Linked DNA regions of Ovis aries. The protein of the gene in region 1 purifies or fractionates together with the protein of each later gene. This does not show direct contact. Links are inferred from orthologs where the notes say so. Each region holds a gene or a part of one and is shown in the gene's direction. Other genes may lie near its edges.

Region 1 (12,102 bases):
GGCATTGTCTTTCTTTGGGATTGGAATGAAAACTGACCTTTTCCAGTCCTGTGGCCACTGCTGAGTATTCCAAATTTGCAGGCATATTGAGTGCAGCACTTTCACAGCATCATCTTTCAGGATTTGAAATAGCTCGACTGGAATTCCATCACCTCCACTAGCTTTGTTCGTAGTGATGCTTCCTAAGGCCCGCCTGACTTTGCATTCCAGGTTGTCTGGCTCTAGGTGAGTTATCATACCATCATGATTATCTGGGTTGCGACGATCTTTTCTTGCCATCTCTTAATATCTTTTGCTTCTGTTAGGTCCATACCATTTCTGTCCTTTATTGAGCCCATCTTTGCATGAAATGTTCCCTTGGTATCTCTAATTTTCTTCGAGAGATCTCTAGTCTTTCCCATTTTGTTGTTTTCCTCTATTTCTTTGCATTGATCACTGAGGAACGCTTTTTTATCTCTCCTTGTTCTTTGCAACTCTGTATTTAGATGGGTGTATCTCGCCTTTTCTCCTTTGCCTTTTGCTTCTCTTCTTTTCATAACTGTTTGTAAGGCCTCCTCAGACAGCCATTTTTCTTTTTTGGGGGGATGCTCTTGATCCGTGACTCCCGTACAATGTCCCAAACCTCCGTAGTTCTTCAGGCACTCCATCAGATCTAATCCCTTGAATCTATTTGTCACTTCCACTGTATAATTGCAAGGGATTTGATTTAGGTCATACCTGAATGATCTAGTGGTTTTCCCTACTTTCTTCAATTTAAGTCTGAATTTGGCAATAAGGAGTTCATGATCTGAGCTATAGTCAGCTCCCAGTCTTCTTTTTGCTGACTGTTTAGAGCGTCTCCATCTTTGGCTGCAAAGAATATAATCAGTCTGATTTCAGTATTGACCATCTGTTGATGTCCATGGGTAGAGTCTTGTGTTGTTGGAAGAGGGTGTTTGCTGTGACCAGTGCGTTCAGTTGGCAAAACTCTATAGCCTTTGCCCTGCTTCTTTCTGTACTCCAAGGCCAAACTTGTCTGTTAATTCTGAGTATCTCTTGACTTCCTACTTTTGCATTCCAGTCCCCTATAATGAAAAGGCAATCTTTTGGGGGTATTAGTTCTAGAAGGTCTTGTAGGTCTTCATAGAACCATTCAGCATCAGCTTCTTCAGCATTCTGGTTGGGGCATAAATTTGGATTACTGTGATACTGAATGGTTTGTCTTGGAAATGAACAGAGATCATTCTGTCATTTTTGAGATTGCATTCAAGTACTGCATTTCGGACTCTCTTGTTGACTGTGAGGGCTACTCCATTTCTTCTAAGGGATTCTTGCCCACAGTAGTAGATATAGTGGTCATCTGAGTTCAGTTTACCCATTCCAGTCCATTTTATTTCGCTGATTCCTAAAATGTCGACATTAACTTGCCATCTCCTGTTTGACCACTTCCAATTTGCCTTGATTCATGGACCTAACAGTCCAGGTCCCTATGCAATATTGTTCTTTACAGCATCAGACCTTGCTTCCATCACCAATCACATCCACAACTGGGTGGTGTTTTTGCTTTGGCTCCATCCCTTCATTCTTTCTGGAGTTACTTCTACACTGATCTCCAGTAGCATATTGGGCACCTACCGACTTGGGGAGTTCATCTGTCCGGGTCCTATCTTTTTGCCTTTTCATACTGTTCATGGGTTCTCAAGGCAAGAGTACTGAACTGGTTTGCCATTCCCTTCTCCAATGGACCACGTTTTTTCGGAACTCTCCACCATGATCCATCCGTCTTGCGTGGCCCTACACAGCATGGCCCATAGTTTCTTTGAGTTAGACAAGGCTGTGGTCCTTATGATGAGATTGGTTAGTTTTTTGTGATTGTGATTTTCAGTCTGTCTGCTCTCAAATGGAAAAGGAAAAGAGGCTTATGCAAGCTTGCTGATGGGAGAGACTGATGGGGGGAAACTGGGTCTTGTTCTGATGGATGGAGCCGTGCTCAGTAAATCTTTAATCCAATTTTCTGTTGATGGGTGGAGCTGTGTTCCTTCCCTGTTATTTACCTAGGGCCAAACTATGGTGGAGTTCGGACTTCCTGGTGGCTCAGGTAAAGTGTCTGTCTACAATGCGGGAGACCTGGGTTCCATCCCTGAGTCGGGAAGATCCGCTGGAGAAGGAAATGGCAATCCACTCCAGTACTATTGCCTGGAAAATCCCATGGACAGAGGAGCCTGGTAGGCTGCAGTCCATGGGATCGCAAAGAGTTGGACACAACTGAGCTGCTTCACTTCCAAACTATGGTGCAGGCCAACCAGGCCCCTCCATCCATGGAATTTTCTAGGCAAGAGTACTGGAGAGGGTTGCCATTTCCTTCTCTAGAGATATTCCCGACTCAGGGATCAAACCCGGATCTCCCGCATTGCAGGCAGACGCTTTACCGTCTGAGCCACCAGGGAATCCAATGAAGATAATGGTGACCTCCTTCAAAAGGCCCCAGGCGTGTACTGCTACATTCAGTGCCCCCAACCCTGCAGCAGGCCACCACTGACTCATACCTCGACTGGAGACTCCTGGACACTCATGGACAAGTCTGGGTCAGTCTCTTGTGGGGTCATTGCTCCTTTTTCTTGGGTTCTGGTATGCACAAGGTTCTGTTTGTGCCCTCCAAGAGTCTATTTCCAAGGGCTTTGTAAGTCCTGGCAGCTCTGTGGTGGGGTTAATGGCGGCCTCCTCCAAGCGGGCTTATGCCATACCCAGGTTTGCTGTACCCAGAGCCCCTGCCCCTGCGGCAGGCCACTGCTGACCCGTACCTCCACTGGAGACACTCAAACCCTTGAACTCATGTTCAAGGTCGGAGAAGCCCCAGCAAGACAGTAGGCTCTGGAGCAGCCACTGCGTGGCGCTGGAGCAGCTGTGAGGAGATACCCCACGTCCGAGGGCTGAGAAGCCCCAGCAAGATGGTAGGAGGGGCGAATTCACGCTTAGAATCAAACCCCATACCCGGCAGAGATGCTCAGAAGGCTCAAATCAACCTTGTGTGTGCCAGGACCAGAGACCCTGCAGAGACTGGTGGCCATGTAGTCTTGAGACACTGGCATCAGCAGGGAAAAACAGGATATTGCCTTAAGGAAAAAACAGCCCACCACCAGGGCATTGTGGTCACTGTGACTTCATCTCTTGTTTGTCAGGTCACCTACAATGGGCCATTTTTTTAACAATACGCCATGAGCCCCTTGTGGACCCTAACAGTGTACACCATATTTTCTTTATCCATCAGTTTATGAAATTTGGTTTCTCACTTTGGGGCTGTTTTGAATAATGCTGCTATGAGCATTTGTGTTCTCTTTAACTTTTTTCTTTGTGATTTATTCTGTTAGGAAATTGGTTTGTCTTGTAGAGTTTCCAGAGTCTGGAATAAAAGCCCTCACAGAGACAGTTACCACCAGTTACTGGTGAATGCAAACTGCCATTTATAACTTGAGTGAGTGGCATTTTTCTGTTTGCCAAATGGCAGACTTGTAGGTGGGCCAATAGGTAAGCCCACCCAACCAAAGGTTCTTAACAGAGAAGAGCAGTGGGAGAATTTTTTCAAATTTCTTCTTCCCTCTTGTGGCCTAGTTAAATAAGGAATTTGGAGAGGAACTTTTCAGTAGGGAATTCAGTAGTCTCAGACTGTCTCCTCACAAGCTTTCTAGGTGAAGGTGGTCTCTCCTGTTTACGATTTCCCCTTTGTAACAACAGCCTAGGCTGGGCTCTGCACAGTATTGTGAAAGCTTCCCTGAGCACCTTCCAGCACCCTGTCCACTTGGCTCTGTTGCTGGCCTCTGAGCTGGCAAGCAGGTGGCAGACTGGCATGTGGGTGTTGGAGTGCCCAGGACCTGCAGGACAGTGCCAGTTGTTCCCACTGCTTGCCTCCAGGAGTGTGTGCAAGAGGGCAAGCAGCAGCAGTGAGTCCCATTGCAAGAACACAGCTTGCAGTTCTCTGGGAGAATGGAGAGGGGTGAGCCACGGCTGCTGGAGGAGGTCTTGCTGGTTTTCCCACCCCCCCACACCCAGTGCCCGAGCTGAGTGGAGGGCAAGCCAGGAGAGTCTGGATGCTGAAGAGACATGGAGGGGTGGCCAGTGTCAGGATGGCAGTCCACTTCACAAGAGCAGGACATAGAGTGGGCCAGGGAGGAAGGTTGGAGTTGTGGGTGAATGTGCACCCAGAAACAGTGAACCATGGCGGAAGCAGGGCAGGTGGACTGAAGTCTCAGCCACTCTGTTCACAGGCCAGATAGGCAGATAGATCCCCAGACAGGCAGACAGACACACAAACCTCTGGTAAGACAGACTTCCAGATAAAGTCCCAGGCAAAGACTACATAGCAAGACAGCCAAACAATGGACAGATTCTTAGACAGGTGGGAAGATGACCAGCCAGGCATGCAGAGAGACCTGTGTCCAGACAGGACACCCCTCCCACCCTGCTTCCAGCCAACGGAAAGACAGAATCCTTCAGGAATAGACAAAGTACCACCACTGGGCAGAGAGACAGTGGAAAGACATCCTACTACCCAGCCAACTATCCAGCCAGATCTTTAGCTTGGCAGACTTAACTCTGCCAGTAAGAAAGACCCCAGCCTATCAGAAAGGTGCTCAGGATAGACAGATGTCCCCTAAACCAGGGGGACAGATAGATATAGACACCCCATCCTGTTGGACAAACACACCTCCAGCCCCTAGTGGAACAGAGATCCCCCAGCTAGCCAGAACCCATTTGCTGCATTAGCTGCCCTGTTTCCTGGTCACCACCACAGATACGCAGGGCTCACTGAGCCTCAGTGTTGCCTCTGCTCTCCAGGTTGACAGTTTCCAGTGACTACTGACATCCAATGACATTCACTACTAGCAGGGTTCAGAAAGCCCATTTGTGATCCGCAGTGGATATTCCTCCTTCACCCTGGTGTCCACTATCCCCAAATGATTGCTATTAGTGTCCATGATTACTCAGGGGCTCAAGTGTCTCTGTGACTCCTCCAATGGACCTCCATATTTTCTCAAAGTTCAGTGATGCTTCTTTATCCCACCACCCTGAGTGCAACAACTGAGTCCTGAGACCATCCAAGAAATCTCAGTGATTACACTGACATTCACTATCGAGCCCTGGTTAGGGGTCCTCAATGAACTTGTCTGACCCTTTTGACCCCTCAATTACTTGGTAAACTAACACTCCAAGTCCCAATGGCTCCCTGGTTACTTTCAGTCTATCACTGACCTCCCAGTAACTGCCACTGACATCTACTGACAGTCTCATGAACGTCGAAGGACCTCTCACTGGCCTGCAATGAACTCACTGATAACGTCAATCCTTGGTGGCCACTACTGACCTCTGAACTTTCAAAGATGACAGTGAGTCAGCAGTGACTCAATCCCTCAATAAGTGAAACATCCCTACTGACCTGCTTTTTGCCTTCTCAGTCACTTAAACAGGGATTGGCAACCTACAGCCTGCAGCCCACCAAAGAAAAAAGACTGACACATGAAATTAAAATTTAAAGTCCACAAATAAAGTTTGGAATACAGCCATGCTTATCCCTTTACATATGACCTATGGTTGCTTTCATCCTGCCTGTCGAAGTTGAGTGGCTGGGACAAGAGCCAGAGACCTCAGTCGTTTAAGAAACAGTTTGCCTGTCTGTGACAACATTCTGATAACTCCCTAATGAATTAGGTTCACACTCCTTACCTCCAAAGTGAAGGATGGGGTAGCTCACCTACACTGAACGGCCCTTGGCAGGGGCCCCTGGCTCCTACCTACTCTCTCCCTTTGTGGCTCCCGGGCAGCAGCTGTCCTCTGGCCTTCTCCCCATTTTCTGAAGACGACAGTATGAGAATGAAAAAAAAAAAAAAATCCTTAAAAGCGTTGAGAACATCTAGATCCCTGGAACCCACTCCCAAAACCTCAATTCTCAGTTTCCTGGAAGTTTTATACAGCTTGAGATTCCCAAATTAGGATGATCCTGGCTCCCTCGGCTCCTCCTGGCCCGACCCAGAAAAAGAAGGAACCTCAAGAAATTTTGTCTTTCTCGCAGCTCAGGTGCCCGGCTGTCATTTCCCCCCGCGGCAACCTCTCCCAACCTCCCTTGGACTCCGCCGGAGCGCAGAGCGGGGTAAGGTCTCCACATAGGGTTTCCCAGTCAGGAATTTCAGCTTCATCTAGGCAGCCGTCTTTACTCACAGCTGACACGCCACCCCGGTTGGGATCCGGATACGTCCAGCTCCCTGGAGGCCGGGCGAGGGCATGTAGCCATCCGCCATGCCAGGGCGTGGACCCCGGGCCCAAGCTAGAGGCGGTGTCCATAGGACCATAGGGACTCATCCAGCCCGCGCGGAGACAAAAAAATTGAAGCGCCGGCGCAGTTTTCTAGCCCCACGCGCAGCCAGGGGAACCTAGCGCCCCCAGTCCGGTAGCCTGTGGGCGGGGCTGGGGCGGGCTCTGAGTGTCATTGGCTGAGGGGCGCGCCCTGTCTGCCGCTGAGCACTCCCATTGGCCGGCGAGATCTGAGGTGGGGCCTGGGCTGCCTTCAGCGGAGTCTACCCCAGCCGAGAGAGCGGAGGTGCAGGTGGACTGCACCTCACTCCCAGGCGGCACCATGAGCCGCAGCTTGGATGCTGCGCGGAGCTTCTTGGAGCAGCTGGAAGCACTAGGCGGCAGGGATGGGGTGGTCTTCGCCGGCGAGTTCAGCGTGAGTGGGCGAGTGTGGACTGCCGAGCTCCTGCTCCTCGCCCTGGACAGTTCGGACCTCCGTCTGTTCTGTGCACCCTGCTGCACTTTGCTTCTCTCTCGGCGTCCAGGGTCGTCTTCTCACTTCGAGATCTCTCTGTTTTTCTCTCCCCAGCACCTCTCTCTGTCGCACTCTCTCTCTCCCTGCCCGTCTTCACCCTCTGCCTGCAGAGCCCCAGAGGGCGAAGTCCACTGCCGGCCCGGGCGGGGCCGCACACGCCCTCGGGTCCCTGCGCGCTAGCTGCGCTCCCGGTATCGTCGGGTTGCTGAGCGAAGGCGAGCGCTCACGCGATGCTCGGCCGCTCCAGGCGACCGGGTGGTCACTGTCCCCACTGTGGTCCTGGGGAGGAAGGGGCTGGGAAAAGAGGAACCAAGAGGCCCCGCTGCAGTGAGGATATGGAGGCCAGTTCTTACAGGCGATGTGGCCTGAGGCTCTTTATCCGGTCTCTGTGGCCTCTGTTTCTCCTAGGGTGAAATGTGACGAAACTGACCTGAGGATTAAAATAGCCAGTGTGGGTAAACCGCGCTTAGCACATCTTGAGCGCTTACTTTATAGGCGGCTTTGCCACTAGTTATAAATAATCCTAAACTTTACAGTGGGGTAGTGCAAGCTATACGTAAGGAGTGCTAATGCAGCAGCGTCGTAGGCATCGCACTGTACAAGTACTGAGATATTTTAAATATAATAACATAGAAACGTGTTAGAATCATATATGGTGACATCTTAAATTTAGAAATGTCTGATAAATATATGTAAGTAATAAATGACTATATATTCATTAAGAACAATAGAAATAGAGAACAGACTTATGAAGTAATTGTATTAATATAAAATATATAGTGTATATGTATAAATATGTCATAAACTATAACTTATACATTAATTTCATAGAACAGAATAAACATGAAAACTCATTTATAAAATGAGCAGTTATTCAAGTTTCTAAGAAACAATAATAAAAGTATACATCTTTATACAAATATAAAATAAATATTATGTATAAGAACTGTGTAATAAATGCAGAATATATAATTTATGCAATATGAAAATGTGCATAATAAATCTAAACATATGATACCCAGGTAGTACATGACATCATATCCATCCAGGTCTGGGTCCAGTTTGGGACAGTGAGCAGTGCTGACAATCCCTATGCAGAAGCTGGGTGGTGAGCAGTGCCAGTTGCTGGAGGCCAGCCTCCTGCAATCTCCTGCGCTCACAAGAATCTTCCAAGGCCTCTCTGGGCCTTGGTTTCCTTATCTACATAGTAGAAATATCCATAGTGGTATCTACTGCAGAAATGTGTCCATGAAGACTTAAATAACCTACCTGATGGGTGTAAGAACACTTAGAATGGTGGCTTGCAGTCACGGTGGCTTGGTAGGTGTTATTTATTATTGTCATGATTATGAATGCCTGGTGATGATGGCAATACTATTCACTGATCATAACAATCTAACAGTATTAAAGCACCTAATAGTATCTACATAAGTAATGTTATACATTTAATTCATATACATTGTATATTATCTTCTTGTGTATCATGTTTGTTATGTTAAGTACATAATATATTACAATTATTGTTCATGATAAGATGTAAATACACACTGAGGGTATGGGGACAGATGCTCAGAGGTCTGAGTTCAACACTCACCCACTTCCTGGGTGGCACTTTCAGAAAGTCACTGACACATGTGGTGCCTCAGCTTTCTTACTGCACAACGGGGAGTCAATAATACCAACTTCGGAGGCACCTTGCAGATAGTTCAATGCCCTTACACAGGGCTTAGCATAGAGAGGGCACTCTGAATGGCTACTGTTATTGAATCAATATTGGAGAAGGGAATGGCAACCCACTCCAGGACTCTTGCCTGGAAAATCCCATGGACGGAGGGGCCTGGTAGGCTGCAGTCCATGGGGTCGCTAAGAGTCGGACACGACTGAGGGCTTTCACTTTCGCTTTTCACTTTCATGCGTTGGAGAAGAAATGGCAACCCACTCCAGTGTTCTTGCCTGGAGAATCCCAGGGGCGGGGGAACCTGGTGGGCTGCCGTCTATGGGGTCGCACAGAGTCGGACACGACTCAAGCGACTTAGCAGCAGCAACACTATCTGGACGCAGCACTCACCTTTCATAGGGCACTTGCCGCATATCCCTTTGAGAGCCTCAGTGTCCCAGGCCTCTGATCTGGCTCCTCTCTTGCTCTCTCTTCCCACCCCCGGGTCTTCTTGCGGTCCTCCCACCAGGACATCCGGGCCCACTCAGCCGCCTGGAAGACGGAAAGCGTGTGCTCAACGGAGGCCGGCAGTCGCCCCGAGAACCTGAGGAAGAACCGTTACAAGGATGTGCTGCCTTGTAAGTTGGGGTGGGGGTGGGGCCTCCGGAGGAGTCGGTGCCCCCACGCTGTGGGATCCAGGTGCTAACCAGGGTCCCTGTGTCCTACTGGCTTCCCAGAACTCTCCCTCCAGGAGCCCTGCTCTGGCTGCATTTATCCCCAGCATCCCACCAGTGCACCCTGATGGGATCCCCCCAGGTGTGCCGTCCCCTGCTGGCTTTCATCTGGGAGGCCATCAGGGCTGTCACCCACAAAGTCCATGTTTCTCACTTCTGCTGGCAGACGATCAGACACGAGTGATCCTTTCCCTGCTCCAGGAAGAGGGACATGGCGACTACATCAATGGCAACTTCATCAGGGTCAGGCTGGGAGTCAGGAAAGGGGCAGAGGTGGTGGAGGTGACAGCAGAACCTCGATAGTGAACTTAGACTTTACCAGGGTGCAGACGGAAGCCAGGCCTACATCGCCACGCAAGGACCCCTGCCTCACACCTTGCTAGACTTCTGGCGCCTCATCTGGGAATTTGGGGTCAAGGTCAGCTTTGGGGGAAGGGGAGGTGTGGCCAGTATTCTGGGTCCTCCCTTGGCCCTGATAACTGCACCCCCTAAACTGATTCTCCTCCCTTACCCCTATGTCTAGGTCATCCTGATGGCCTGTCAGGAGATGGAGAACGGACGGGTAGGTGTGCTCAGCCTCTGGAGTGCATGTCCTTATGCAGGAGACAGGAGAAATCTCACTAGCTCTCCCCTGATCCCATGACTCAAGGGACGGGTTCTTGGAGTGACCCCACTGTAGCTCTGCCAAGCCCACTATTACTGGCTTTAATTTTTTAAATGATCATTTTCCTTTTATTCGTGTGGTTCATCCTTCCAGTGTTGGCAACCCTCTCCTGCTGGACTTCCTGCCCCATAGACCATAAGACCCTGTAACTGTGGCTTCCCCAGTACAAGTCTGATGTCTTTCCCCATGTTTCTCCCACTTATTCACTATGCTCCGACCACTGGGGCCTTTGTTCTGCCTCGAGTCCTATGTTCCGTCTGTTCCCTCTGCCTGGGACATTTTTCCCCTTGGGCTGCTGCATCACCACCCTCAGGTCTTGGCTCAAATGCTCCTTCCTCAATGAGATCTTCCTGGACCTCACCCCATTTGAAACTCCCACTCTCCTTCCCCGGTCCTACTTTCATTTTCCTTCACAGTTCTTAGCAACTTCTGAATGAAATATAAGATAATCTACAAATGCATTGTGTATATTGTTTATTCTGTCTCCCTGAGTAGAAGCAAAGTTCCAGGAGAGCAGGGATCTTTGCTTTGCCCATAAGTATAAATTAGTTACTCAATAAATGTGTATTATCACTGAAGGCACATGGTTTCTGCATCCTGGCCGGCTGGGATAGCTGGCTGATCATGGAGTCTATGCAATCTATAGTGATGTACATTTTTCATCTCTAATTTTGGTAGTTGTGATATCTTCTCTCCTGGCTATTGGGTCTGGCTAGAATAAAGAATCAAACTTTTAACTGTTGTACTAAATCTGTCCTGCTGCCTGTTTTTGTAAATAAAAATGTATGAGAACATAGTCATGCTCATTGGTTTACATAGGGTATACATGCCACAATTGTCACGTTCAGTAGTTGCAAGTTAAGTAGACTGTATGGCTCCCAAAGTCTAAAAGATTTATTATCTGGCCGTTTATAGAAAGTTAGCCAATCTCTGGGCTAGAGGATTATTAGTTTTATTTTTTTCAAAGAAGTGGCTTTGAATTTTATTCATTTTCTCTAATTTTAAATTTTTATTTCATTAATTTCTTTTATCTTTATCATTTCCTTTCTTCTGGTTTAGGTTTAACTTGCTTTTTTCTAGTTCTTTAAGCTTAGATAAAAGATTTGTGATTTTTATCATGTGTAAGTAACGCCATTCATTTTTCTCCATACACTGCTCTAGCTACATTCCATAAACGATGTTGTCTTTTTTTTCCAGTTAATTCAACATGTGTTCTAGTTGCCCTTGTGATTTCTTCTTTGACATGGTATTTGACTATAGCTGTGGTTAATTTCCAAATATTGGGGACTTTTCCATATATCTTCCTGTTATTAAATTTCAGTTCCATTGTGGTCAAAGAACAATTTTATATTATTCCAGATGTATTGAAACTTGTTTTGTGGCCATGAATACGATTTATCTTGGTAAATGTTTTATGTGCACTTGAAAAGAATTTGTATTCTGCTTGGTTGAGTATTCTATAAATATCAGGTCAAATTGATTGTGTCTTTTTGAAAGACACTTTAATATTTTATATCTTTATTGTATCTTCATTGGAAAAGACTCTGATGCTGGGAGGGATTGGGGGCAGTAGGAGAAGGGGACGACTAAGGATGAGATGGCTGGATGGCATCATGGACTCGATGGATGTGAGTCTGAGTGAACTCCGGGACATGGTGATGGACAGGGAGGCCTGGCGTGCTGCGATTCATAGGGTCACAAAGAGTCGGACACAACTGAGTGACTGAGCTGAACTGAACTGAACTGATAGATCTTTACTGATTTCTTTTCTCTAAATGTTCTGTCAGTTCCCAACAGGAGTGTTGAAACCTTCAACTGTTTTATAACTGTCAATTAGTACAAGCTTGTGAATAGTATTACTCAAATTGTATTATTCATATTTTTTTGTCTCAGTTCAGTTCAGTCGCTCAGTCGTGTCCGACTCTTTGTGACCCCACGAATCACAGCACACCAGGCTTTCCTGTCCATCACCAACTCCCAGAGTTTATCCAAACTCATGTCCATTGAGTCAGTGATGCCATCTAACCATCTCATCCTCTGTCGTCCCCTTCTCCTCCTGCCTTCAATCTTTCTCAGCATCAGGGTCTTTTCAAATGAGTCAGCTCTTCGTATCAGGTGGCCAAAGTATTGGAGTTTTAGCTCCAACATCAGTCCTTCCAATGGACATTCAGGACTGATTTCCTTTAGGATAGAGTGGTTGGATCTCCTTGCAGTTCAAGGGACTCTCAAGAGTCTTCTCCAACACCACAGT
Region 2 (12,171 bases), on another chromosome or scaffold:
TAGTTGATTTTCAGTGTTGTGTTAATTTCTGCAGTACAGCAAAGTGAATCAATTATATGTGTATATCACACACACACACACACACACACACACACACACACACACACATTCTTTTTTAAAATCTTTTCCATTATGGTTTATCATAGGATATTGAATATAGTTCTCTGTGGTATTCGGTAAGACTTTGTTGTTTATCCATCCCAGTATAATAGCTTAAATCTGCTAACCCTACCCTCCTACTCCATCCCTCCCTAAACCTCTCCCCCTTGACAACTACTAGTCTGTTCTCTATGTCCATGAGTCTGTTTCTGTTTTATAGATAGGCTCGTTTGTGTCATGTTTTAGATTTCACATATAAGTGGTATCATACTTGTCTTTTTCTTTCTGACTTCAGTTGGTATGATAATCTCTTAGTGGCATCCATATTGCTGAAAATGGCATTATTTCATTCTTATTTATGGCTGAGTAGTATTCCATTGTATATATGTACCACATCTTTATCCATTCATCTGTCATTGGACATTTAGGTTTCCATGTCTTGGCTATTGTGAATAGTGCTTCTGTGAACATTGCATTACGAGGAATTTTAATAAAAATTTATGTAAAAGATATTTATCACAGTGATATTTCTAAAAGCATTAAGAGAATGCTAAAAAAGTATTGGTATATCCACTTGATGGGAAATTATGCAAAAGTTAGAAAGTGATACTGAAGATTTTTCTTTTTAATTTTTGGGAGGTTTGAAATAAACTCATATTGTATAAACTCAGAGGTCCAGAGAGCATGAAGTGAAAAGTAGGTTTTCTTCCCTCCTATGTCCCTCTGCCCCATTCACCCCCGCATAAGAGGAACATTTAAAACATGTGTGTCTATTCTTTTTCCTCTTTACCCAAACGGAAGTTTGTTTCGCATCTTGTTTTTTCCCCGCTTTATAGCTGGTGATTGTTCCATATCAAAACACTGAGCTTCCTCATTTTTTTAATGCTTGAATATGATTTAATTATATAGATGTATTGCAATCTATTGAGCTAGTCCTCCACTGATGGCATTTAGTTCTTTCAAATCTTTTGCCAGAATAACCATGCTGCTATAAATAATTATATACATATTTCACTTTGCACATATGAGGATATCTGGAGGATAAACTCTAACATGGAATTGTTGGATCAAAACATAGGAGCACTTAGGAAATTCCTTGGTGCTCTAGTGGTTAGGACTCAATGCTTTCACTGCAAGACTTGTGGCCAAAAAAAAAAAAGGGAGCATTAAAAATTTTGGCAATATGGCAGAATTTCTTTCCACAGAGATTTTCAATTTTCTCATGAAAGAGTGTCCTGTCCATTCAGCCAGCATCATGTGCTATCAAACTTTATGTTAGGAAAGGTGTATTAAAGGATTTTAGAAAATACTAATGAAATATTGTTACGTTACAAAAGCAAGACTCAAATATGTACAGTACGAGCTTAAAAATGCAAATGTAGGACTTCCCTGGTGATCCAGAGGTTAATAATCTGCCTGCCAACCATGCAAATGCATATTATTGAAAGAGATAATGCCACTGAATTAATAATAATGAATGCCACTATTAATGGCATTAATTTAATGCATTAAATTCAGATAATGCCACTGAATTTAATAATGCCATTAAATTATCCACTGTTAACACAGTAAATGTGTTAATTGTGGTTTATATTAAATGTATTGATTCATTATTCCATAATTGCTGTAGTCCACCTCTTTGTAACCCCATGGACTGTGGCCTGCCAGGCTCCTCTGTCCATGAGATTCTCCAGGCAGGAATATGGGGGTGGCTTGCTATTTCCTGCTCCAGGGATCTTCCTGGAGTAGTGTTATGGCTGTAGTAGTGTTATGGCTGTAGTAGTGTTATTTAACTTCATTAGTAAAATATCCCAAATTTGTTATAGACCCTTGGGGGCATCCTTGGTGGTGCAGATAGTAAAGAATTTGCCTGTGATGCAGGTGACCCAGGTTCGATCCCTGGGTTGGGAGGACCCCCTGGAGAAGGAAATTGCAACCCTCTCTAGCATTCTTGCCTGGAGAATCTCCATGGACAGAGGAGCCTGGTGGGCTACAGTCCATGGGGTTGTAAAGAGTCAGACGTGACTGAGCGACTAACACACTTCTGCTGTAAAAACAATTCAAAGCAAGACCCATGGATATAGTACAAATATTACTTGTCTTTTTATTCCCAACACCTGTTGAGGTGATAAGGTTTATAAATTAGGAATGGATGAGGAATATTTTCTGTGTGGACAACCATTTGAAATTTCCAATCTTGCCACCAGGTGGTGGAAGAGAGTTAAAATTCAGGGGACCTCGTGGGTCTGAGCCACGAAAATCAAGTACAATGTACCCTGAGAGGTTAAACAAAATGTTGAAAATGAAAATTTAAACAATTAGAATTGATTTAAAATATTTGTTCCAAAATATTCAAAACTCCCAGGAAAAACTTTGATGCTATCTGTGGCACTTCAGCATATTTCCTCTGTTGGCACTATTTCTTACCCCTCCTTCTGTTGAGCCTGTCCTCCTGGTGCCCCTGATGATGCTGTCAGGCTTCCCTTTTTCCTTCTAACCTCGCTGCTTTCCAGAGAGTTGAACAGCCTGATGAATGGATGCAGCTGAAGGCCACCTCTCCATCTCTGTTGTTGCAGATGACTCTTGGTGGGATTCCATCACTGGGGTGGGTGAGGGCAAACCTTCCAGCTGCCCTTCACATCACCCCAGCTGCTATCTTCACTGTGTCTGTACCAAGCTAGAACCTGCTCAGAGGCACAGTTTGCCTCTCCAGGTCTGAGGCTGGGGGCTGGCTCTCGACCTGCATCCTCCCCTCCTTGAGTGGATCAGCCTCAGGAATGACCTCTATCTTTGGCTCTGATTCTGTTGAGAGGGGCAGAGCTGTAACCGAGCTCCTCATACTTTAAATACCTGTGATCTTGGCCACGTCAGTCAGCCTCTGTGGGCCTCAGTTTTTGGTTCAGGGCAGGTAGCGCAGGGCTGTACTTTGTCTCAGAGTGCCTTATCACTGCAAAGCGGGGATGGGTCTGACTTGCCCTCGGTTATGTTTACGGGGGTGTTTGTTCTACTAGGAGAATGAAGGAAGAGGAAGGACGCTGGGACATCATACTTCTGGAGGGATTTGGTGGAGAAGGGTCTTGGGTCTGGATCCTAAGAATGCGGAAGGGTTGGGGAGGAGCTGAGTTTCTGGACACCTTGAAAGGACCCCACTGAGGGACATGGAGTCAAGGGCCAATGACCTTTCCATGACTTTTGGACTAAAACATGCTTACCTGTGGCGGGTGCCTCTGAGGTCCCGCACTTGATGAGCTGAAGCGTCCACACCTAACGCGGCCGTCAGTGTTGTCAGTGGAGGCCGCGCGCAGTCCCCGCGACCACCTCGGATCCGACGGGGGCTCAGTCCACCAGCGCGCAGAGCCTGGCTGTCTCCGCCAGGAACTGGGTCAAGGGAGGAGGGAGCTGTGGGCAGGAACGGAACCGAATTCAGGGAGGCGACAGAATCGGTTCCTTCCGATCTTTAAAGGTCTCCCGAAGGAGAGGGACGTAGGGTTAACTGACGCCTGACGCCGCAGGGTCTAACCCTCGGGCCGCCTCTGTCTTCCGCGCGGGACGAGTGCAGGGTGCAGGCAGACCCCGGACGCGGCTCGGGCAGGAGTCGGGGGTGCTGGGTGCTGAGGACCGCCGAAGGGTGCGGGGAGCGGGGAGTGGTGGGGGCTCGGGGCGTGGTGGGGACGCGGGGCGGGGCCGGAGAGAGGGGGTGGGGCTCCGGGGGCGAAGCGGGGGTTGGGGTAGGGGACGGGGCCGAGCGATGCGCCTCGGGGCAGGAGGGGCGGGGATCGGGGGCGGAGCTGGGCTCGGGGGCGGGGCCAGGCGGTGAGGCTCGGGGCAGGCGGGGCGGGCAGATGGGTGGTGTGGGGGGCGGGGTGGGCGGTGGCGTGGGCGGGGCTTAGCTCCGGGTGCGCGGCCGGGCTGGCAGGTCCTGACAGTCCTCGTCCCCGCGCGCCTGCTCTGGTTCTCCTCGCTGCTCGCTAGCCAGCCATGACAGGCTCACTGTTCAAGGGGAACTTTTGGGTAAGTCAGCGAGGCGAGGAGCCCATCGCCCGGCTTGGGAGATGGGGGCCCCGAAGGGAGCCGTGGGCCCCTGTCCGGAGCAGAAGCCGATCGGACCGGCCGCCGCCGGCCCCTCTCTGCGCTGCCCCCAGCCCGCCGCGCGTCCTCGGGTCCCCGGGGTCCGGTTCGCAGGGTTTCCCTCGGCCGTCCGCGCCCCGGGTCACCGCAGACAGGTGTAGCCTTATAGCTGGGACATTCCCCTCTCATCTTACACCTGGGGAAACCGAGACCCAAAGGGAGGAGCCACTCGTCCTGGGACAGTCGCAGGGTGGTCCCGGAGGCTGCACTGTGAGCAGATTTGGGGGGTAACGTGGGTCAGAGAACGTACGGTAAACTTCGCCGGGTTGTTTGGCTTTTCCAGGTCCGCGGAAATGTACAGCCTGTCCGAGCCTCCAGACATTAGCGGGGTTCTCTAGCAGAAGCTTTGCCGGTCTCGTAGCCCCGTTTCCTGAGCCCCTCCCAGCCTTTGCCCCCTGTCCCCCTATCCAGGGGGAGGCTGGTGCGTGTGTGAGATCCTGCGAGCTGGTGGGGGCATCTGAGCCCGAGGACGGGCCCAACCAGGAGGCGTCAGCTCAGTCCTCTTCTCTGTCCAGTCCTCTTCCCCCCGTCCTCTCGCTCCCCAGGTGCCCCTCAACAGTCTGTACCCCCTCATTTGGAGGAGCCACCCTCATCCTTTTAAGGCAGGAGCAGAAAGTCAGCTTGTCTCCAGACTGAGCTACTGCTGCCAAGCCGCCCCATCTCCTTACCTGCAGTCCGGATGTGAAGTGAAAGTTGCTCCCTCTGTCTGACTCTTTGCAGGCGGATTCCTTACCAGCTGAGCCACAAGGGAAGCCCAATACTGAAGTGGGTAGCCTATCTCTTCTCCAGAGTATCTTCCTGACCCAGGAATTGAACTGGGGTCTCCTGCATTGCAGGAGGATTCTTTACCAACTGAGCTATCAGGGAAGCCGAAAGGAAAGTAACCCTGATGGCTCCCTGTTTAGCCTCATAGCACCTAGCAGGTTCCTTTCCCCCATGGAGAGTGCTACAAAGAGAAAACTTGGTCCTGTAACCTGGGGGACACAGTTTAGACCCTGCCTTGAGAAGTCCCTTTTCCTGGAGTTTTTGGGGTTCTCCTTGAGCACTGCCCACCTGTGGGGTATGGTCCTCTCACCACAAGCAGCTTCACAGAGAGGGTGCATGGCCTTGGAGCTGGCCCCTGGAGGAGGCCTGTGAATTCTTTGGGTGGAATAAAGGATCTCAGGGTCCCATGCCAGGCACTATGGGAAAAAAACAGCACAGAGAGCGCTGTTTTTCTTCCCCTCAATATGTAGCATTCAGTTTTCAGGTCTCTGCCCAGTGTCTTCTCTTCAGGGAAGCCCTCCCTGATTGTGCCCGATAGTGCATGTTGTATTCCTTCATAATTATTGTCCTTTATGGTTTTGAGGTTGGGGGCCTTGCAAGCATGTGAGCACCTTGTGGACAGCTGTTGTCTGGCTTTCAGTGCCACTGCCCCTTGCACGGGCTGTTGCCAGTGAGATCTCAGCAGATAGCTGTCGAATGAGTACAGTGGATCTATGAAATGGGGTTGAGAGCTGCGGCCTCCATCCTCAGAGGGCTCCCAGGCCACAGGAAGGCAGCCCCCCAGCTGCTCCCAGAGGCAGTCTTGCAGGAATGTTTAGGGGAGGGGGCAGATATGAGGTCTGTGTTGGGAGTTAGAGATTTGGTAAAAGTCCAGGGTAGAGAACTTTCTGAGTTTTTACTTCCCCCTCGCCCCTCCCCGAGCTTTTACTTTCAAAACATATAAGATCCTGAGTGATAGTTTGCAAAGATATCTTCTAATTTCATATGATTTTTATGTCAAGTAATAAAAACAGTAATAGCTAACATTACTGTGTATAGAGTCTGTGGCAAGCACCGTGCTAAACACTTTGCATATACCACTCATTTACGTCTCAGCTACCCTATGGGGTACCTTATTGACTATTCCATTTTGCAGATAAGGAAACTGAGTGGCAAACAGGTTGAGCAACATTCCCAAGATTGTAGAGCTATTAAACAGTGCAGCAGGACTCTGCATAGACCAAGTGTTCATCGAGTGCTTTCAGCGAGGCTGGTGCTCAGTGAGAGTGTCCTTTGGCACTGTCAGATGTAGACGCTGAGACATCATTTGACTCTTCACGTGCATATCTTTCTCCTTCAGCTCCAACCATGAGTTCCTGGGGTGTCTGCACTGAGTGCCACCACCCACTGAGCCTCCAGCACTGCGATGGTGCTTCTCATACGGATGCTCAGGAACCAGGCAGACGGGACAGTCAGCCCAGATTTGAAAGAAAGGGGGCAGAAGGGAAACTATTGGAGACCTTAGGGGCTGCCTGAGATGCTTTCATATTTTCAGGGATGGGTAGACAGTGGGGAGCAAGGCTGTTGTTATCACTGAGGGGATGGCAGCAACTCATGCTTCAAGGACAAGAAGGTTGTGATGGTATAAGGTAGAAAGCTTTGGAAACCCGAGTGGGTATCAGCTGATTGAATTGAACAAATATTAGAGAAAATACGTTCTCTGTATAGAGGTGGCATTTGCAGGGATAAGAGCACCGTCTTGGGTCGAAGGTACATTCATCATTAGGAAGCCAGCAGGGAGGGTGGACTGAGTCTTGAATGCCTGTCCTCACGGATATAGAGGACAAAGGGGTTGGGGAATGGGAGAGTTCTGGCAGGGGCCGAGGGGCAGAAAGGGTCTGTTCCAGGATGGAAATCGCAGGGAAGGGACAGGAGGAGACCAATGAAAGGAATGGCAGAGGGTAAGAGAAGTCAAAGCCACGGGACAAGGTCACCAATTGAAACCGGGCAGTGGGGGAGAGGAAAGAAAGGCTCCGAGCAGGCTCTGCGTAAGGTGAGCAGGAGAGTGGGGTACTGGCCCCAGAAAGCAGGAAGTCACATGAGGAACTGGTTTGTGGGGAGAGAAGGAGGAGGAGGCAGAAGCGATACTGACAATATTAACTACAGGGGTAGCACTGGTGAAGACGGAGACTCGCAGCATCCTGAAGCCCCTGCAGCAGCCCTCAGCTTTCAGGACAGTGCCAGGGTTGCTGGATATGGGGAGGTCCTAGGGAAGGAACAGGGGCCAGACAGCAGGGTTTGGGGATATTTTAATATTTGAACAACCAGTACAAACAGTGAGTGTGCCCTGATCCTAGGTTTGAGGACTTGGTAGAGGGGGCCCCAGTAGGGTGTCCAGGCAAAGGGTGTCCAGGAAAGACAGTGCCTGGAACAGCAGAGGCTCTCAGGTGGCCTCAGTTCAGCTCAGTTCACTTGCTCAGTTGTGTCCGACTCTTTGCGACCCCGTGAATTGCAGCACGCCAGGCCTCCCTGCCCATCACCAACTCCCGGAGTTCACTCAGACTCATGGCCAAGTTTAAATCCCCATCTGCCCCTTATAGCTGAGTGACCTTGGGCAGATAACTTCAACTCTCATTCTGTTTTTCCATGTTGAAAAATGAGGATAATACCAATGTTGGTGCTCTAGGACTGTTGTGAGGATTAAATCAGAGTTCTGTGCATGCCTGGCACATAGCGAGCACTTGTGATTGTCAACTATTATCAGCACAGAGGTGATAATTAAAGGAAGTGGTTGACAGTTACTCCTTGAGAATCAAGAGATAAGAGGACCCCAGAGAAGCACTCTTGGTGACTACCTTGTTTTGGCAGGAGTAGAGAGGGGTCAGAGAAAGAGAGGTAGAGATGTAGGGATTCAACCCTCACAGGAGCCATCACAGGCCCAGGAGAGGAATGTTCCATGGAAGTTGAGAGGCCCATGGTCAAATTAGGTAGATGTTCCTGAAAAGGTGTGAGTCAGCGTATACTGTATAAATAATCTTCAGATGCCCCGTGGGAAGTTCATTTAAAGGAACCTTTCGGTGGATCTATTTGAAAAGGGAATGCTCTTTAAAACTGGGATAGTCCCCCACTGTGTGTGCTTTTTCCCTCCCAGCAGTTGTGTGGTTAAGCTGTGCTGTTATTTATCCTGGTTCACGTTGACGGTATCTTGTTGAAATAAGACAGGGGCTGTGGGTGTGGTTTCCAGGGCTCCAGGGAAGGTGGCCACATAGGGACGGTCCCAGCCTTTGGCCTGTGGTCAGAGGGGCCTTGCACAGGTGACCTGTTCCAGGAGAGGGAGATGCTCCCCGCCTCAGGACAGTCCCACATTCCTCACGAGGGTGTGACCCCAGCCTGACCCTGTGTATCTTCTAGATCCTTATGTTGATGGTCTTCCTGATTCTCACTGCTCTAAGCCCAGACCAGCCTCCTATTGCCTGTCCTAACCTCTCCCACCCCTGTGCCTACGGTGGGCGAGGCCTCTCTCCTCTGCTTGGGGAGTGACCAGGGGAAGGCTTGGGGCCCCCTGAACTTGCTCGTTGTGCCTGACCACCCAGGGCTGTCCCTCTGCTTCAAACCTCTGACCGCTTTGGAATCTGTTCTTTCTGGGTCTTACCAGATCTTGAGTTGGTATTGTCCTGCCTGGTGGCAAAATGCAAGATAAAGGCGTTGACTTTCGTCCCTTCCAGTTCATTCTTTCTAGAGCAGCCACTGGGTTCTAACTTTAAAATGATTATCACAAATCTTATTTTCTTGTTTTAGCATTGTAAGAATTTAATAAGAAAGTCATGGGATCTACCTTCTAAGGAAAACAAGAAATTCTTCTCTTTTTTTGGCCATGAGGCATGTGGGATCCTAGTTTTCTCACCAGGGTGCAAACCCAAGCTCCCTGCATTGGAAGAGCAGAGTCTCAGTCACTGTGACTGCCAGAGAAGCCTCCAGAAAAATGGGAAATTCTTTTTGAAATATATGAAACAAAATCTGAACAAGTGGAAAGAAAACAAAAGTTTGTTAACAAACTTTAAAAAAGTCTAGATGGTGTAAGCATATTCTTTAAAAATTCAAATATTCCCAAATGACTTATAATGAAAAACAATATAATTATTATTTATGTTGTCACAATGTGTAAAGACTGTTTTTTATTTTATTTTTCTTTGCCATGTGACTTGTGGGATCTTAGTTCCTTGACCAGGGGTGGAACCCATACCCTCAGCAGAGAAAGTGCAGAGTCCTAACCACTGGACCGCCAGGGAATTCCCACAGCATGTAAAGGTTTTTATTTTTAAAGCTAAGTGTGTGTGTGTGTGTGTGTGCACACGCTTAGTCATGTCTGACTCTTTGCAACCCTTCGGACTGTAGCCTGCCAGGCTCCTCTGTCTGTGGGATTCTCCAGGCAAGAAATACTGGGGTGGGTTGCGATTTCCTTCTCCAGGGGATCTTCCCAACCCAGAGAGGGAACCCGTGTCTCTTGCATTGCAGGCGGATTCTTTACCTGATGAGCCATCAGGGAAGCCTGAAGTAGTATATTATAGTTAGATCTCCATTCTTATTTTTCCTGGACTTTCTAATTCTTCTTTCTTTGAGGGAAGACATTATTCACCTTTATCAGAAACCCTTTTTTAAAGCATTTATTTGTTATTTAATTTTGGCTGTGCTGGATCTTTGTTGCTGTGCGGGCTTTCCTCTAGTTGCAGAGAAGCATCGGCTTCTCTTTGCACTGGCTTCTCTTGTTGTGGAGCTCTAGAGCACAGGCTTAGTTGCTCCAGAGCATGTGGGATCTTCCTGGATCAGGGATCGAGCCCATGTCTCCTGCATTGCAAGGTAAATTATTTACCACTGAGCCATCAGGGAAGCCCCAGAGACCCTTTTTTTTTCCCCCTCAATGCTCCACTCTATCAGTTTTTTCCCCTGCACAAACAACAGTTTGTTCACAGATTAGATTTACACAGTGAATGTAGAATTCTGAGTTTGGTGTCTCAGATACCCATTACAGGAACACGTACATAGATAATACATAGTTAAGTTCATTCTAAAGTCAAAAAGACTTGGTGTGTGCAAACTTGGTATAAGTGTGTATGGATGCATATTAATTTATGGATTTTTCTGGTAAAAGCAACTATAGATGTCATTAGCCAATCAAAGCAAATATCAGTTACATCCAAACATATACAATATCCAAAGTACCTCTGTTTGTACAACCAGTAGATGTTTTTGCAATTAACTTCTGTAATTTTCATTTACCATCTCTTAAGTATAATCAGAATGTCCATTTTTGGACATATTTTATTACAGCATAAATATCATTCAGTGTTAGTGAAAAGCTCATCTGAGTAGGAAGGGGCTGACATTTTTCTTTCCTCCGCTATACTAGAAATCTCCAGCTTTGACAAAAGAAAAGGGGGAAAGAAAGTGAAGTTGCTCAGTCGAGTCCGACTCTTTGTGATCCCATGGACTGTAGCGTATCAGGCTCCTCCGTCCATGGGATTTTCCAGGCAAGGGTGCGGGAGTGGATTGCCATTTCCTGCTCCAGGGGATCTTCCCGACCCAGGAATCAAACCCGGGTTTCCCGCACTGCAGGCAGATGCTTTACCGTCTGAGCCACCAGAGAAGCAAGAAAAGGGGGAGGGGCGGTGTTAAATAATAGGAATTGTTGGTTAGCTTTATAGAATGACATGTCACTGTAATTTAAAAAAAATTATTTGCTTATTTATTTATTTGGCTGCATTGCTCTTTGTTGCCACATGTGGGATCTTCGTTGCAGTTTGTGAGATCTAGTTCCCTGACCAGGGATCGAACCCAGGTCCCCGGTCTTGGGAACCTGGATTCTTAGGCACTGGACCATTGGGGATGTCCCTAGCCATTGTAACTTTTTAAAATATAAAACTATTAGACTTTTCCAACTATATCAATGGGACTATTTAAGATATGGTTGCCAGGAATTTAAGAACTCTTGCATGTTATGAAAATCCATGAAGACTGAGAGCTGTATGATCTCACTCTGGAAAAGCCAGGCAACAGGAAACCAGATACTTTGGACACTGTTCAGATAGCTGCTGTTGAGTCTCACAACATTCAACACAGGCTTCGGAGCCTCTTCAGAATCAGGAGCTTCTAGCTTCCCAAACAGCCTGTGTGTGAGGAAGGTAGGAAGAGCAGGCTTCTGAAAAACACAGTAGGCTCTTGACATGTTGGTTTAAAAACTTGTCTTCTAGCTGGACTTAGCTGTATCTTTGCGTGAAGGTTAGACAAAGGTCAAGCTGCAGATTTCAACACAGGAGATAAGAGTTTGTTCTTCTTGAGAAGAGGAAAACTTTTCCCTAGCTGACTCTAACGCTCCTGTCTTAAACACTTTACACATCTGTATGTGTAAAGAGGTTCAAGGTAGTTCAGAGCAACTTAAATCCCGGTGCATAGACCCATACCATTCATCAGTATCTATCTGTGGAAACTCTTATATGGCCTCCTAGCTTACCAGTCGGATATGGCTCTATTGTATTAGCATTGATCAGGTCACACCAGGTGAGGACTTTATTTTTTTAAAGTTTGTTTATTTGGCTTTGTGGGTCTTAGATACTGAGTACTCTCTAATTGTGACCCGAGGGCTCAGTTGCTCCAGGGATATGTGGGATCTTAGTTTCCCGACCAGGCATCGAGCCTGAGTCCCCTGCATTGCAAAGTGGATTCTCAACCACTGGACCACCATGGAAATCCCAAGACTTTCTTTTTTGACAGAAATGATCACAGCTGAAATATTTGGGAAAGTAAATTAAAAGAATATTCTTTTAGTTATTCTGTTTTGTTTTTGTTTTGTTTTGTTTTTTGACCCGCAAGGCTGTGGCACGTTATACCCTCTCACCAGCCCAGCACTACGCCTCCAACACAGAGTATGACATAGAGTACCGTTTTTGTGTTTTTTTTTAAGGCTGCATGATCTTAAATATTTTTTTTTTCATAGATCACTGTTCATCTTTTAAACATATTACTATTTGTGCCTTTCAGATCCCGAAGAATGGTAGTGTAAGGGTCACATACCTCAGGAACATCACTGCTTTTACAACTGTATTTTAGGATACGGAGACACACACAGAGAATGAAAAATAAGGAAAGTTGGCAGTGACCCTGCCTCATACCCTCAGCGTTCACACTGTGAGGTGCAGCCACACA

What was found.
Region 2: the proteins of PTPN18 (region 1) and PSTPIP2 purify together in Homo sapiens (affinity purification with mass spectrometry; 4 studies listed by BioGRID and IntAct, with this or other methods). This does not show direct contact. The link is inferred for Ovis aries from reciprocal best matches to the Homo sapiens genes PTPN18 and PSTPIP2.

What each region holds. Positions count from the first base shown.
Region 1 is NC_056055.1:114,199,250-114,211,351, forward strand, and holds the start of PTPN18 (tyrosine-protein phosphatase non-receptor type 18), read left to right. Parts: upstream 1-6,537; 5' UTR 6,538-6,604; coding exon 6,605-6,697; intron 6,698-8,982; coding exon 8,983-9,091; intron 9,092-9,353; coding exon 9,354-9,430; intron 9,431-9,509; coding exon 9,510-9,605; intron 9,606-9,710; coding exon 9,711-9,749; intron 9,750-12,102. UniProt on the Homo sapiens protein: Differentially dephosphorylate autophosphorylated tyrosine kinases which are known to be overexpressed in tumor tissues.
Region 2 is NC_056076.1:46,209,185-46,221,355, reverse strand, and holds the start of PSTPIP2 (proline-serine-threonine phosphatase-interacting protein 2), read left to right. Parts: upstream 1-4,023; 5' UTR 4,024-4,077; coding exon 4,078-4,110; intron 4,111-12,171. UniProt on the Homo sapiens protein: Binds to F-actin. May be involved in regulation of the actin cytoskeleton.